Linked DNA regions of Mus musculus. The protein of the gene in region 2 purifies or fractionates together with the protein of the main gene of each other region. This does not show direct contact. Links are inferred from orthologs where the notes say so. Each region holds a gene or a part of one and is shown on either strand. Other genes may lie near its edges. The genes, in order: Gemin2 and Nckipsd.

The links.
Region 1: the proteins of Nckipsd (region 2) and Gemin2 purify together in Homo sapiens (co-immunoprecipitation; 3 studies listed by BioGRID and IntAct, counting the BioPlex papers as one, with this or other methods). This does not show direct contact. The link is inferred for Mus musculus from reciprocal best matches to the Homo sapiens genes NCKIPSD and GEMIN2.

Annotation. Positions count from the first base shown.
Region 1 is NC_000078.6:59,012,210-59,016,447, forward strand, and holds the start of Gemin2 (gem-associated protein 2), read left to right. Parts: upstream 1-1,181; 5' UTR 1,182-1,267; coding exon 1,268-1,404; intron 1,405-1,760; coding exon 1,761-1,845; intron 1,846-4,238. UniProt on the Homo sapiens protein: The SMN complex catalyzes the assembly of small nuclear ribonucleoproteins (snRNPs), the building blocks of the spliceosome, and thereby plays an important role in the splicing of cellular pre-mRNAs.
Region 2 is NC_000075.6:108,806,683-108,811,207, forward strand, and holds the start of Nckipsd (NCK-interacting protein with SH3 domain), read left to right. Parts: upstream 1-1,697; 5' UTR 1,698-1,801; coding exon 1,802-1,972; intron 1,973-4,139; exon of another isoform or gene 4,140-4,220; intron 4,221-4,363; coding exon 4,364-4,473; intron 4,474-4,525. UniProt on the Homo sapiens protein: Has an important role in stress fiber formation induced by active diaphanous protein homolog 1 (DRF1). Induces microspike formation, in vivo. In vitro, stimulates N-WASP-induced ARP2/3 complex activation in the absence of CDC42.

The DNA.
Region 1 (4,238 bases), on a different chromosome or scaffold from region 2:
AGCGATGCGATAGCCAGGGCGGTGGAGGAAGGGAGGTAACCGGAGTAATAAAGGGTGGGATGTGGCCGCTCGAGGCCGTGTGTAGGATTAAGGTTAAAATACCTGACTAGGGCATTGCTAGCCCCAGAAAAAAAGAAAAAAAATGTTAACCACCAGATGTAGCTTTCACGTCTACTGTTTGCTTGAACGATTGTTTTTGTTTTCTAGTATATAGAAAAGGCTCTTGCAAGTTTTTTTCCTGACATTGTATCCGTGTCCAAAGAGGAGAAAGAACGAAGCACGAGTTAACAATTATTTGAAGTATTCGCTAGAAAATAGATGCTCGGATTCTCCTCTAATTTTGGGTTTTCGTCTGTGTGTTGTCAAGAGCCAATGAGAAGGCTTGGCTCAGGGACCTCACTTGCCTAGAACTCATAAGGCAGAAAAAGAAACTTTACTCCCAGAAGTTGTATTCTGACCTCCTCACCGACCCACAAGCAATCGCAAAATAGTAATTTTAAAGTTTTTAAGTATCTCACTCGGCTAGTGGTGATGGTTCATGCCTGTAATCTCAATAGTCAAGGTTAAAAAAAAAAAAAAAAAAAAAAAAAAAAAGGCAGCCCAGCTTACGTTACACTGCAAACTGTAGACCCTTCTAAGCCACAGAAGAGACAGTCTCAAAAACCTAAAAATTATCCTCGTGTGATACTTGGTACTCCAGAAGCTGAGGCCAGGGGATCGGATCACTACAAGTTTGAGACTCCTTGAGCTACCTAATGAGTTCCAGAACAGCCTCAACTAAACTTTAAGATGCTATCCGAAAAAGTGAAAAACAAAACAAAAAGTTCTGCATTCATCCACTCTGTTCCCCGCGAAGTCAGAAAGACACCACCCTAAGGGGTTGTAAGATTTAGACGAATGTAACGTGTTTACAAATGGTTAAAGGCTTTAGTACTCTAAAAATGACGATTATAGCGATATTGTTCATTAATTTTAAAAATATTAAAGATTTCAAAGTTCATCCTCAGTCCCTGCCGCCTACCCAAGCTTTAGACGAGAAAATGGGATTAGACAGAGCGACCTAGAAACTCTTCAGGAACCACTTCTGCCAGGAATTATTCTCGAGCGCTACATTCCACCACCGGTGCCATAAGCTTGATGCAACCAGCAGGTTTCTTGTGTGGCTCCGCCCCCTTGCGCCTGTAGCCGGTGGCCTCGGCGGAGGTCGCTTAGGCGCCTGCGCCGTGCCTACTCTGGGCGCCGATTGAGACTGGCGGGAGCGAGAACCATGGCGTGGGTTCCAGCCGAGTCTGCGGTGGAAGAGTTGATGCCACGGTTGTTACCTGTGGAGCCCTGTGACTTGACGGAAGGTTTCGATCCCTCGGTCCCCCCCAGGACGCCTCAGGAATATCTGAGGAGAGTGCAGTGAGTGATTTCGCCCCGTGCGAGTGGGCTGGTTGTCGTGCCCCTGTGTACAGCCCTGGTGCCGCGCCTGACCCTTGGTGTGCAACAGTCCCTCCTCTGTTTGCGTTCCTATCTTTCGGGAGGTCCGGGAAATTTAAGATCTTATTACACCCTACGGTTGGCAGATAACTTTTGAACTTGATTGCACGTTAAGACGTGTGTTCTTAAATTTCTTTGCTTTTCATCTAGGTGTCAGGCGTTTCGTTTTTTCATTGGGAGCTTGCACTTTTATTTCCCATTTCATAATAAAGTAAAACACATCTCTCTATTCTACAAAGCGAAATAATAAGTATCATGTATGTATTACTTAATTGTAGGATCGAAGCAGCCCAATGTCCAGATGTTGTGGTAGCCCAGATTGACCCAAAGAAGTTGAAAAGGAAGCAAAGTGTGAACATTTCTGTGAGTTTAACCAACCACCTGGGAATATTTTAACAACACACACATATACAACACGAACATTTTCCTATCATATCAAAAATATAAGTTATGGTGTGTATAAGATTAGATTGCTCCTTATAAAGTTAGGCACCACTTGGAAGCTAACACAGAGGCGTTTTGGTCTGGAGGCCAGCCTACATTGAGACCCTCTGGAAAATGTGTGTGTGTGTGTGTGTGTGTGTGTCATTTAAAAGATTACTTCCCCTACCCCCAAAAAGTACTTCAATTGTTTACTAATATTGACCTTTATAGCCGGGCGTGGTGGCGCACGCCTTTAATCCCAGCACTCGGGAGGCAGAGGCAGGCGGATTTCTGAGTTCGAGGCCAGCCTGGTCTACAAAATGAGTTCCAGGACAGCCAGGGCTACACAGAGAAACCCTGTCTCAAAACAAACAAACAAACAAACAAACAAAAGTACTTCAATTGTTTACTAATATTGACCTTTATAAATAATTAAGGATATTTTTTTCTGGATATACCTTTATAGTTATTTTTCAGGGTGGTGCATTGTACACTTTTTCAATTTGACCTGGTATCATTTTCTCAGTATAGAAACACAGCTGTCTTGGCAGCTTTCTGTCCATATTCTTTATTCATTTGCTTAGCCAGCACACTTTTTATTGAGCAGTTAGGTTGTGCTGGGCACTAAGAACACAACAGAGGATCATAAAGAAAAGGTCCCTAAAGACCAGGCCTGTTGGTAAGCACGCTTGTAATCCTAGCACTTGGAAGTAGAGACAAAAGGGTCAAGAAGTCCAGATCATTCTCAACTACATAGAAGATTCCAGGCTACCCTGGAATATATAAGACTCTCATCTCAGAAACAAAGGAGAAAACTTCCCTATGCTTGTACAGTATCGGTCTCCTGAAGGGCACAAAGAATAGCCAAATAATTACATCATCTGGTCATTGCATGAAGAAAATAAACAGCACTCAGTAGTCAAAACTATAGGGCTAGAGAGATGGCTCAGTGGAGTCCTTCCAGAGGATGCAGGTTCAATTCTGAGCAGATAGTGGCTCACAACCATCTCTAGCTCTAGTTCCAAGGGCTCTGATGCTCTCTTTACACCTTTTCAGGTACCACGCGTGGATATGATACATAGACATGCATGCAGACAAAACACTCATACACATAAAGTAAATAAAACTTTTTAGTTTAAAAAAAAAAATCTCAGCCATTTACGGTAGTACATGGTTTTAATACCAGCACAAATGAATCAGAGGCTAGCCCAGTCTACATAGTGATTTACAGAACATCCAAGACCACATAAGGAGACTCTATCAGGAAAAAAAAAAACAAAACAAAACTTGGGAGTAGGAGGGTGTTTCCTCAGGGAAGATTATATGAAACCTGAGGTCAGGTTTTTCCGTTTTTCAAGGTTTTTGACAATGTATGTTTGAAGTAATTCCTCTAATGTTTATAATTAGGACATTTTAATTCATGCACTATATATAACCTTACATGTTTTCACTAGACGCACACGAGTTCATGTGTACTTGGTCTTTTTTCCAATTTACCCCACTGAGTTCTGTTAGAAGGTGATACCTGATTATTTGGGGTTTTATAAAACATTTTTTTAGACTTGTTTCCGTTTTTGTTGTTTATTTTATGTATGAGTGCTCTGCTGCATGTAAACCTGCATGCCAGAAAAGGACATCAGACCCCATTACAGATGGTTGTGAGCCACTACATGGTTGCTGGGAATTGAACTCAGGACTCTGGAAGAGCAGCCAGTGCTCTTAATGGCTGAGCCATCTCTCCAGCTTGACACCTGATCATTTGTTAACTGTGTGCTATTTTGGAAAATAAAAGTAAGACTTGGCATGTTGAGTATTTAGCCACCTTGTTTGACAACTCTGGGGTTTCAATCATCACCATGCCAATCCCCACCTGTCTTAGTTAAGGTTTTACTGCTGTGAACAGACACCATGACCAAGACAAGTCTTATAAAAACAACATTTAATTGGGGCTGGCTTACAGGTTCAGAGATTCAGTCCATTATCATCAAGGTGGGAGCATGGCAGTATCCAGGCAGGCTTGGCACAGGAGGAACTGAGAGTTCTACATCTTCATCCAAAGGCTGCTAGTGGAAGACTGACTCCCAGGCAACTAGGGTGAGGATCTTATACCCACACCCACAGTGACACACCTATTCCAACCAGGTCACACCTATTCCAAAAAGTCCACACCTCCAAATGGTGCCACTCCTTGGTCCAAGAATATACAAACCATCACACCACCCATCAACAAAGTAAAGGAAATCAAGTAGACCTTTTCACGTCTTTAAGTTATTGGGTATATTTTGACCTTCCCAAATTCTTTATTTGGGGTATATCTCTTTTTTGTTTGTTTG
Region 2 (4,525 bases):
CCCCATGGTGGGGTTTCAAGTAGCCACAAGTCTCTGGTCTGTTGGTAGCCATGGACAGTCTTGGCTTCAACACCTGCTACCACTCCTACTCAGCAGTCCCATAATCACACCAGCTTCATCCTTTACAAAGACCAGTCAGCATAGCTCCAAAGAGCTACCACTACTTTGTGCCTGAAAGCTTCTGTAAGTGTGTGTGTGTGTGTGTGTGTGTGTGTGTGTGTGTGTGTGTGTGCACTGCCAAAAATTGGCAGAAACATTTGATAAAGCCAGGGTCTGGATATCAAGTTCTTGTCTTGGCTGAGCCTTCTGGCAGCTCCCCACATCCCACTGGGCCTACCTCCACCATGCCTAAAAATAGATTAGCGAAGTCTAGGTGTAGTCTGGCTCATCTAAGTACTCAGGCAGAGGGAGTTGGATTGCTGTTAGTTTCAGGCCAGTTGGTGCTGCTAGTGTGACCTTGTCTTTAGGGGGAAAAAGCCAGGTGTGGTGGCACCTGCCCTAAGTCCCAGCATTTGGGAGGCAAAGGCAGATGGATCATTGGATTTAAGGCCAGCCTGGTCTACATGGTTCCAGAACAGCCAAAACTACACAGTGAGACCTTGCCTTGGAACATTGTCTGATGGTGTGTATATCCTGTGCTCCTTAGATTAGTGGAGAGTATGCAAGGATCCTTTAGGCCTTCTTCACTACGACCGAGGGATGCCAAGGATTTCAAAGATGTGGATGGCTAGGCTGAATATTAAACTGAAGGTCAGGGATGCTTTTTCTTTCTTTGAGACGGATTCTTACTATGAAGCCCAGGCTGGTCTTGATCTTGGCTTTCTACAGCTCTGCCTCCTGGATGCTGGGATCATGCCACCATTCAGAACTCAAAACATGCTTTTTAAACCTCATGTGTTCAGTCCCTACCCTATCAGCCTTCTGCCCTAACCATTTTTTTTCCCCAGTGCCATTTGTGATGTTGGGGCAGGACAGGGTTGGTAACAGACAGCCTTTTAAAACAGGAGATGCATGTATACACGCAGTTTGATTCGTTATGAGTAAATATGACCTTAGGTCATAGACTTAAATCCTTTTGTAACAACAAAAATGGCAAAAGGATAGTCATTGACAAGTTGGGGCGTGGTCCAGAAGGGAGTGTTCAAATAGAACAGATGCAAGACTCAAGATAGGAAAGAAGCCAGTATATATGAAGGGAGTGTATATGTGGTGGGTAGCAAAGATGCATTCTGGACAGTACAACCTGGTTTTGTCCCTTGCCCTCCACACTTGTCCACCACCTCAGCGACAGAGTAGGGACTTTGTACTAAGGCACTGTGAGGCCTAGATGCGCTGGGGAGACCCCTCCCCAGAAAGAACTTCCAAATGTCTGATCAGGATTCCTCAAAGCAAAACACCATATCCCCGTCCCCAGGGACGCACTGGCTATAAGCATCCTTCATCAGGAGGTGGGAAGGAACGCAGCGCTTGCACCTGAGCTGGGAAAGGAGGAGGAAAGCCAGGGAGAGGGAGTTAGGACCCTAAGTCAGCTGACTGGAGTCTGAGGCCTGAAGGAACTGGAGACTCCCACCCCGCCCCGCCAAACCTCTCTCGGCCGCGAGGGGGCGCGGCGCTCCAATACTGGAGCCGACTCGCTCCTGGGGCGGGGTTCCGGCGGTCGCGCATGCGCACGCGCGGCGTGTCACGGGGCGGGGCGGGGCAAGCGCCGGGCGGCGCGGCACTCAGGGCCTGGCTTCCCGGCACCGCAACCTTCGTCGCGTACCCAGCCCCGGCGCTTCGCGGCCCGGCCCGGCCCGGCCTCATGTACCGCGCGCTGTATGCGTTCCGCTCCGCGGAGCCGAACGCCATGGCGTTCGCTGCAGGCGAGACCTTCCTGGTGCTGGAGCGCAGCAGCACGCACTGGTGGTTAGCAGCACGGGCGCGCAGTGGCGAGACCGGGTACGTGCCGCCTGCCTACCTGCATCGCCTGCAGGTGAGTGTGTCCCTCCGTCCCAGGCCTCTCGACCGAACCCCTTCACCAGCACGCAGAACCGATCCAGGAAGCTCAGTCAGATTCTTCGGGACTTCTACCAGACAAGGAGGTTGAGACTCTGACCTTAAGTCCCAAGAGCCGTAAGGACTGAGACCCCTCCGGAAGGGCCGTCAACACCCACCCGAGACTAGGCCTTTGACATTTAACCGCAGGCCCGTGAAAAGCTTAATTCTGGAACAGGGACTCTCTGTCATCGATAATCAGAGCCTCCATCTGCATTGAATTCTCGAGCTGGATCCAGAGACTTCCAGTCCATTCATTATCCAAGTCCCTTAGACCTCCAAACCCTATTCGTTCCCCTTTCCTGAATCCCTAGGATGCCCATCTCCCATCAATCTGTAGCCTCCACCTTTAACTGTAAAGATCACCGTGCCCACCACTGACTGTGCCACCTCATACACCACCTGTTTCCTCAACCACCCTCCAGGTTCTTAGTCCCCACCCCACCCACACACTTGGACCCCAGAGCCACAGGCATTCCTGTCCCTTATGCGAGTCCCAATTCCTGTAGTATCTCTGTATCCCGAACCCGCCCACCTATCAAGCTCTCCCCAAGGACAATTCCCCAACCCTTCAGGAACCAAGGCCCCTGGCCCCTGCTGATAGACAAGGTTCCCTGGCACAGCCCCCACTTCTCCCAAGCCTCCACTCCTGACTTCTCTGGTTTCCTTCCTCTGAAATCTGGGCGCTCCATCCTGGAATGGGAGCTGTCCACACTGTGAGGAAGTGAGCCTCCTTCATGGTTTCCCGTTCTGAAGATGGCCTGGTCCCCTTCCAGTGGAGCCTGCTCCAGTTCCTGTTTGCTCAAGAGTAGTCCTGCTGCAGTGTCTCCAGCTAGCCTATTCTGACTGCAGGAGGAAGGGGACCCAGGGCAGTCTGGGCTATTCCAGACTCATAGTCCCTAGCTATGGAAACATCCTGTCCCAGCCCAGTTAAGGACAGAAATACTGTGATAAATTTGGAAATGTCATCTGGTCTTGCTAAAGACGAGGGACCCTTGGTTCTAGGGTCCTCCTCACAGACTCTCAGTCTCCTCTAGAGGTGTTCAGGTGAGAAAAATCTAAACTGTGTCACACCCAGCTCAGCTTTTTGAGCACCCAGGTCTCTTTGGAGACTTTGAGGAAGCCCTGCCTCTTTGTCAGGCCCTGTGGAGCCTCTGCTCTAGCCAGGGTCAGTGGGGCTGGAGGGTTTGGGAAGGAAAGATCTTTCTCGGATCACTTCCTGTTTCTTTCGTCATACCCCTAGTCTCAGTTCCCCCGACTGCGAATTTCTGTCTCATTTTTACTCCACCTGGTGTTTGCCCTTCTTTTTCAAAACTTTCCCTTTCTGTCGCTGTTGCTGTCTCTCCCTGCCCCGCCCACACACCTTCTGCCATCTGAAGGACTTTGCTGACCCCTATATTTATTTGGCCCTATCCAGGGAAGCCTCTTAAACTCACTCCGGAACTAAACACGGTGACTTATGTGTACAGTCTGAGGCTTCGGGAAGAGTACCTTGAGCTCCAGGCCAGCCCTGGGCCACATAGCCACTTCCAAACCAGCTTGAGCTGCAGAGATTCTCATCTCAAAAGACCAGCCACCCAGCCAACTAAAACAAACGGGACTGTACCCTAATGTGTGCTTAGGTCTGTTCTGGGGTTCCTGTCCCGCAGCTGGCCAACCCCACCGCTGTAATCCACACCTCCCTCCATGCCAGACAGTGGGGTAGAACGGACTCCTGGGTTACTGAGGACGGCCACACAGGCAGGAATCAGGCCAGTCTCTCAAGTCCCTCCTTTGTCAGAAGCAGAGTGCCTTCCCAAAGGTGGTCTGAAAAAGTGGCGGGACAGCTTGGGAGGGTGGAAGGAAGGGAGGTCCTTTTGACCCGTTTTTACCTCCCAGCGCTTGGGAAGGTCCCTGTGGGTGGGAAGGTCCCTGTGGGGACAGGGCTGTTTTGGAGTGTGACCTTGGCTTTGTGAAGGAGCAGCATCCAGAGTGACTGATTAGGGATCCCAGACATGAGAGTCTTCCCTTTTGGCATCTCATGCTGGGCTCTGAGCCAAGCCCAGGGAGAGACTAGGTTTGGACTCCTGGTCCCAATCTGGGATTCCTATGGTTTCTCTCTATAGGTTTTTAGAATTGTCTTTGCCGAGAGCCTGTGTATGCAAGCCCCTAAATGTAAACTATAAAATACCATCACAGAGTCCCAGGTAACACGATTTGACCACTTCATTCTGTATTCCATTTTGGCTGTCTTCTAGTGTCCAGAATTCTAGGCTAGTTCCAGATTGGGCTGGGTCTGGGCTGACCAATCCCACTTGGCACCCAGGTCTAACTACCCACCTACCTTTAGGGCATGGAACAAGATGTCCTCCAAGCTATTGACCGTGCCATTGAGGCTGTGCACAACACAGCCATGCGAGATGGCGGCAAGTACAGCCTGGAACAGCGTGGAGTCCTTCAGTGAGTATCTGGGAAGTGGAGGTAATACCTTCCCTTGAGCGTGTTGGTGGGG